Linked DNA regions of Danio rerio. The protein of the gene in region 2 purifies or fractionates together with the protein of the main gene of each other region. This does not show direct contact. Links are inferred from orthologs where the notes say so. Each region holds a gene or a part of one and is shown on either strand. Other genes may lie near its edges.

The links.
Region 1: the proteins of smurf1 (region 2) and smad6b purify together in Homo sapiens (affinity purification with western blotting; 4 studies listed by BioGRID). This does not show direct contact. The link is inferred for Danio rerio from reciprocal best matches to the Homo sapiens genes SMURF1 and SMAD6.

Annotation. Positions count from the first base shown.
Region 1 is NC_133193.1:21,083,581-21,087,351, forward strand, and holds the end of smad6b (mothers against decapentaplegic homolog 6b), read left to right. Parts: intron 1-2,139; coding exon 2,140-2,681; 3' UTR 2,682-3,069; downstream 3,070-3,771. UniProt on the Homo sapiens protein: Transforming growth factor-beta superfamily receptors signaling occurs through the Smad family of intracellular mediators. SMAD6 is an inhibitory Smad (i-Smad) that negatively regulates signaling downstream of type I transforming growth factor-beta.
Region 2 is NC_133178.1:39,663,762-39,667,591, reverse strand, and holds part of smurf1 (E3 ubiquitin-protein ligase SMURF1), read left to right. Parts: coding exon 1-203; intron 204-2,394; coding exon 2,395-2,479; intron 2,480-3,830. UniProt on the Homo sapiens protein: E3 ubiquitin-protein ligase that acts as a negative regulator of BMP signaling pathway. Mediates ubiquitination and degradation of SMAD1 and SMAD5, 2 receptor-regulated SMADs specific for the BMP pathway.

The DNA.
Region 1 (3,771 bases), on a different chromosome or scaffold from region 2:
TGTCATGAGCCATGGCTGCATTTTAAATGGCGTCAATGTTTTAAAGTGCACTGCGAAGGGAGCGCAATTGTCAATATGAGGATCGCTAAAACTAAACTGTAAGAATACATTGACAGCAAATTACACCTAAGAGAGATTTATTATTATTATTATTATTATTTAAATCATTCCAAGTTTAAACGCTCTAAATGGATAGGCGTAAAGGGGATAACTGGGAATAAAAAAGAACCAGGAACTATGCTTCTAACTACAGCACTAGAAGTGTGCGAATGTTCGTTTGAACGATGGATTTGGGAAACGCCAAATTTATGAACTATGTTTGTAATGATGTTACTTGAGACATTTGTTGGCTTACGATGGTTTTCGGAAACGAACCCCAGGTAGATTATTAATTAGACAGCTATCAGGATGTTCAGAGTGTCATGTTCACAGGTGAAGTTTTAAAGGATTAGTTCAGGCAAATATTCAAATGATGTAATTAATTACTCAACCTTAATTCGTTTAAAAGCCTTTGTTCGTCTTCAAAACGCAAATGAAGATAATTTAGATAAAATCAGACAGCTCTCTTAATCTTCATAGACAGCAACCTTCTAGAGACATTCAAAGGCCAGAAAAGGAACCAAAAATATTATCGAAACAGTCCATGATCATATAAAGCTCCAAGAACACTGTAAATTAGACTATGAATATATAGTAAATATGTCAGATACCATTAGAGACTCTCATATTTCACCAAAAATATGTTAATTTGGGTTATAAAGATCAATGAATAAATTGTTGAGGGAACTAACACTTTAAACTCAAGATTTCAGTGACTCTTATTCATTGATACTGTCATACTATTTATGGTCTCAAAATACTGCTCTGCAAAAGAGCTAACTAATATAAAGCATTACCTTGGTCATTTTATGGTGCAGTTTAGTGGTTAATGCTGTTTTTGGAGCTTCACAGCCTTGCTTGTAAACTGTTGTTATATAGAGAAAAAGTTTCTTAAAATCTTCTCTTTTGTGTTCTACCATAAATCTAATAGCATGCAGGTTTGGATTGACATGACGTTGAGTAAACGATGACAGAAGGCTAATTTTGTGGTTAGCTATTTCCTGAATGACCCTGAGAGTCACAAGAAAATGTGAAGGAGCCACAGACCCTGGCTCTTGCAATCTCCCTGCCAATAGCCTCTCAGGAGCAAATTAATGGCATCAGTCAGCATGCACGTTAATCTGAGCTGATAGCGTGAAGCCTGGGGGGTCAGGAGGTCAAAGGCTTGCACTAAGTTGTCAGGGAGCTGAAAGCTGTCCCCAGGCCCACAGCGGGAGGAGACGCTCCCTCTCCACCCAAACCATCGCCACCATCACCCACCCACAGGAATGTGGAGGAGAATGGAGACGGGGGAGGGAGCTGTCGCCGGATATGAGCTCATGGCTTTTACATATCCCCCCCTTCCACACATACTCTCTTTCCAGATCAAGACTTGAACGCAATACGTGGCACTGCTAAGTGGAATCATTTTAGGGGATAATTCACCAAGGAAAATGCATTCTGTAGTTATTTACTCTTCTTTCATGTGTTCAAAACCTATTTGAGTTCTTTCTTCGGTGGAACACAAATTAAGATACTTTGAAGAATGTTGAAAACCTGTAAGCATTGATTTCCATAGTGTTTGTTTTCAACTTTCTGCAAAATATCTTCTTTTTATGTTCAGCAAAAAAAAAGAAACGGGTTTGGAACCACTTGATGGTGAGTAAGTAGTGGCTAAATTTTTGTTTTGGGGTGAGCTGTCTCATTAAGTGTGTGCGGCTAAGACACAATCAGGGTCTTTGGAAGCACATGATTGAGCCATTAAAGTAATAATGATCATTTTGATTTAGATTTTGGTTGTTTTGCTTAATTTTTAGGGCATATATACTTGACTTAAACAGGTTTTTTAACGTCATAATATTTCTTCCGCTCATTCTATCCATTTCTCAGCTTTTCAGTGTGTTAGTAAATATTTGAATGAACTAAGTTTTGAAGTAGTGCCCTCTTGAGGCCACACATAACAGTGCAGCCTTCAACTCCACATAACAAACCATCTCTCTGTCTATTTCAGTGTTATGGGACAAATGAGTGACAGCTGTGTTCTCTCTCTTCCTGTTTCAGATGCCAGTCTGTCACCTGACGCCCCCAAGCAGAGTCACTGGTGTAACGTGGCGTACTGGGAGCATCGGACACGGGTGGGCCGCCTCTATACGGTGTACCAGCCTGCCGTCAGCATTTTCTATGACCTACCTCAAGGTACGGGCTTCTGCCTTGGCCAGCTGAGCCTGGACCAGCGCAGCAGCACCGTGCAGCGGACGCGTGGCAAGATCGGCTACGGCTTGCTCCTGAGCAAAGAGCCGGATGGAGTCTGGGCTTACAACCGCAGCCAGCACCCCATCTTCGTCAACTCTCCGACTCTGGATGTCCCAGGGAGTCGAAGCCTGGTGGTGCGCAAGGTGATGCCTGGATACTCCATTAAAGTGTTTGACTATGAACGCTCGTCCATGCTCAGGCAAGGAGCCGAGTCGGAGCTGCTAGACGGACCCTATGACCCGAACAGTGTGCGCATCAGTTTCGCGAAGGGCTGGGGCCCTTGTTACTCCCGCCAGTTCATCACTTCGTGCCCCTGTTGGCTGGAGATCCTCCTCAACAACCACAGATAACACATGGATAAACACATGGACTCGCTCATGCCGAGAGACTCCACAAACAATCCCAAATATCATCTACTTAGATTTAATATAAAGTTTTATATATTATAAGAAATATATATTATACTTGTAAATACTGGAGTCATTTTTACGATGTAATTATTTATGTATGGTGCAATGTGTACATGGACAAGAGGAAAAAAAACGGGAAATGCACTTTGGCTTATATATTATATATATAAATATCTATAAAGATAAAGAATCTTTCAATACCAATTTGAAAAATTATACAGCAAAAATAGGAAGAGCCTGGTTTTGGTGTATAGTTTTCATATACTATTAATATCCAGATGAAAAGCTAACACCATTCACACATTGATAATAAAGTATTCGCATAATACTGCTTTGCCTTTTTGTCTCTCTTACTCATTTATAAACAAAGCCTGATTCTAATGATTACATTTTATATGGTGAAGAATAAGGAGCGGCACGGTGGCTCAGTGGTTAGTACTGTCTCCTCACAGCAAGACCGCTGAGTGTATGAGTGTGAATGGGTGTTTCCCAATACTGGCATATGCTGGAATAGTTGGTGGTTCATTCTGCAGTGCAACCTCTGAAATAGAGACTAAAGCTGGTTTATACTTCTGCGTCTAGTGATCAGAGTGACCCACGGCGCATGCCTTGCGTGTAGCCGTGCATTTATATTTCTGCAAGCTGTTTGTGTCACTCTGCAATAGACTCTTTTCACATTTCCGGGTTTCTCAGTAGCAGAAGTCGTCATAGTTGGGAAACTTAGTGAACGGGAGAATACAACAAATATTTTAAAAAATCTTATTTACTCAGATAATAAAAGAAAAACTCTATGATGATGTTATAAAGATGTACAGAAAAAAGAAAAAAAATTGTGTGAGCATGATGACGGCAACCAGAGGAGAGAACAACATCAGATTTACTCTCAGCCTCATAGACGCTGCATTAGAAACGCCTCGCACAAGCGGTAATTTGGTTTTTATCATTTGAAACAAAGATGATATACTTCATACATAAATTCATATGTGTTCATACTTTTTTTTTAAAATCAAAATATTAAAAACTGTCAAGG
Region 2 (3,830 bases):
CAGCTGCTTCATGGAGGAGCCCATGCCATACACCGATCCCACAGGAGCCGCTGGAGGGGGCAACTGCCGTGCACTTGAGTCACCCAATCAGGAACAACGGCTCCAAGCACAACGCATCAGAAACCAGGATTCCCGAGGGCACACGCACACCCCCCAGAATCGACCGCACGGACACCAATCCCCCGACCTCCCTGAGGGCTATGGTAAGCCTAACCACATTATGTGGCAAGATGGTCAGGAGTGGAGCTTATCAAAGAGTTTTTTATTGTCATTGTTGCTGCATTTAAAGGGACAGTTCACCCAAAAATTAACATTTATTCACCGTTCACTCATACTTAAATAGTTCTAAGCTTTTATACATTATAAAAAACATTTATTATACTATATAAATAGATGTTGTTACATCAATTATGAGTGTATACATTATACAACCAAGACATTTTGAAAAAGGTTGGAAAGCTGCAGCCATTGACATCCATAGGATGTTTTGTTCATAGCATGGATTTCATTAGCCTGTTTCACACAAAAATACCAGTAAATATCAGGAAAATTTTGTTATATGCGGAAAATTTCTAAAACGACTTTACCGGTAAATTCAAAAAAGCGATGTTCACACATCCATTAAAAAATTTTGGTCAATTCTGTCATCCTTATCCAGAAATGAGCTCTAAACATCTGCGTTTATATTTGTAAACATAGAACATCTTTTATTGATGGTTACACCTTTTTTTATAGCGTTAGCATTTATGCTTTGTCCCAGACAAATTCATAGGCAGAAGTGCCAATCGCAGTTTGACAATATCACAAATTGTGTAGATGGATAAGTGTTCTGAACAATTTGTTTAAAAATGTATGGAGGAACATATCAAGATGTACATAATATGTGTGTGTGCTGGCGCTCACCAGAGTACACCTTTACGTGCACACGCATCAAGCAACTGAAGCAGAGCTCGAAGGTAAATAAACAGAGGTTTATCGTAAGCATTTTAGCGATAATTTCTTCCACATTTGGCTTTAAGAAGCAACAGAGAAACATTATCTGACTAACATCTAGCAGCTAAATGTATCTCGAAAAATATTCAAAAGGCTTGTACTTTCATAAACAACGCAGATGTGAATGTGTCTGAATTTCCTGATTGGCCAATAGACGTCTTCCCAGCAACATTCTGGCAAGTTACTGGTAATGTTAAAACTTCTCTTTCCGGAAAATTGACGGATCGAATTTACCAGTATTATCAAAAAGGGCCTGTCCACACATGATCCCACATAATGAGCTCTTCAACATTTTTTAAAATATCTTCTTCTTTCGTGTTCAAACTGGTTTGAAAGGATACATAAATGATTGCAGAATTTTCATTTTTGGGGAACTGTACTATTTAATGTTCGTGTAGAGCAGGGGTGTTCAAACTTGGTCCTGGAGGACCAGTGTCCTGCAGATTTTAGCTCCAACTTGCCTCAACACACCTGCAAGGATGTTTCTAGAAAGCCTAGTAAGAGCTTTATTAGCTATCCCAGGTGTGTCTGATTGAGGTTGGAACTAAACTTTGCTGGACACCGGCCCTCCAGGACCAAGTTTGGACATGCCTGGTGTAGAGTGAGAACGAGTTTGTCATTCTGCCATCACAACAGTAAACAAATCGTTAGAGAAGAGATGTCATTGCAAAAGAGAGAGGAAGCTGATTTGACTGAATATCTAATGACCACTGCAGTATTGCTTAAAAACAGAAAGATCCATTTTATTTCCAAGGCACGCTATTGGGATTCAGCAATACTTTTCTAACAACTTCACCTTTAATGCACTTCAAATAAGCTGGTGCGAGTAATTTTTCTGTCATTATGTATAATCAGCAGGTCACTTGTTATAAAGACAGGGCTAGCTTTGTTCAATGGAAGTATATATATAAATATTTAACTACAAACACAAGTGGTTTTGCACATCCCTGGAGTGTGCACCTGATCTCTTACCCACAGTACAGTCGGAGTCTGCTGAGACTAATACAGCTTAGCGCTTTGGGTAGAGGCTACTGAAGTGCAGTGAACTGGAGAGACTGAGCTCTGAAAGGAGTCCATTCAGCCGGGCACTGCTGCTTTAGCTGAGCCATGTGGCCGCTGCAGCCTGCATTATACAGGTGGATTGACTGCGCTAAAGCCCCTCATTGGAGTGTAACTGTGTCTGACCCGGCTGGTGTTGTGGTCGGGCCCTTTGGCGTGATCGCCGGACGGCGCCAGTGTAATTAAATCTCAGCCTAGACATGCCACACTGGCTCTGTGCAGTCTGAGAACTGGAAGCCGGGCGTTCTGTTGCAAAAGCCCTGGCGCTCTTTCAGGTTTCATGTAAAACTGCTGTCTTGCTCGTTCGCTCTTGACGTGTGCCTCTTCTCTTTTGTACCACAGAGCAAAGGACCACCGTGCAGGGCCAAGTCTATTTTCTGCACACACAGACTGGCGTGAGCACCTGGCACGATCCCAGAATACCCCGGTAGGTTTAATCACCACCCGCCTTCACTGAAATAACGATTGTGCCCTTTCTGATTGCTTCTTGCTGCTATTGTAATATCGCTCTAATCGTTTAATGTCCACAATCAGCTAACTTGATAATCAGCACAATCATCTCACTTAATAGCTGCTACTGTTGACATTGTGAAGCTTAATAATTTGCTCGTCATCAGGAGAACGAGGAAAGAGACTTGAGGAAAGCAAGGCGGGAAATCAATACAAGTCAAGCAGACAAATGCAGGTGTTTTTTGTGTGTGTCGAAGGTTATTTTAGTCACTGTAGCGCGTGACCTCTTAAATTGGCACCTTCTCTTTGGCCCAATCACATGCTTGTTTAATCAACACACATGCGAGCATGTTTTGAAAAAGTTCAGAAACCGCCGACTGTTTGTTTTGATCTTCCATTGTGCCAACATCTCTTTACTAAGACAAGTCAGTCCACATGTTGGCCATGTTTGTAATGCCTTCAGGCAACTATTTCATATTTTAATAAAGTACTGAGTAGATTTTTTTTGTTTTTAGGCATGGTTGTATAAAATTTAAAAGCTTTTTTTTTAGTTTTATGTAATATATAGATTTCAGTATATAATGATGGTATATAGATATATATACAGTGCTTCCCACAGGTTTGAAATATACTTGCAGTGGTAGTCGGATTGAAACACCTTTTACTCTCAGCACATAAATGGTCAACTACATGCAACAAACAAAAAAGTGATTTTTATCTGTATTTTTTTAATATGATACTGGTTATAAACCTTTTTATTTCAGTAGGTTAAAGTAAAATAAAAAAGATGGTTAAAATAAAATAAATAGACTATTTCTCTTACTTTTATGCTATTTTATGCTCTCACTCTTTAAAGTTGCTTTATTGGCATGATATTTTGTACAGTATTGACAAAGCAAATATACAACAAACGTGAAATAACAGAAAAAAAAGGGAAAAAAATAGACAATATTGCTTAAAAATTATAATAATTACAAAAATATAAAGTGTAAATTATATAAATACGGCAAGATTTGATTGAAAAGTTGATTAACCATTTCTAATGTTGTAAAAATATATTGCAGCCTGTATAGATGGAGTATAGATAGTCATTTTGTTTTTTCCGAGTATATGGTTTATCTGAGTCGTTTATTAAATAATTAGTCATTTAATGTTTCTCTCCCTGCAAAATGGTAATGCAAAAACAACAAATAACGGTAACGTTAGAAAGCAAAAGCTGAATCCTGGACATTTTAGGAGATTCAGAAACTACATCCGGACGCATTTCGACGCAAAAGGCTCTGTGGGTCTGCAGAACACCTAATATTGTGTGAGGGTTTGACAGATCT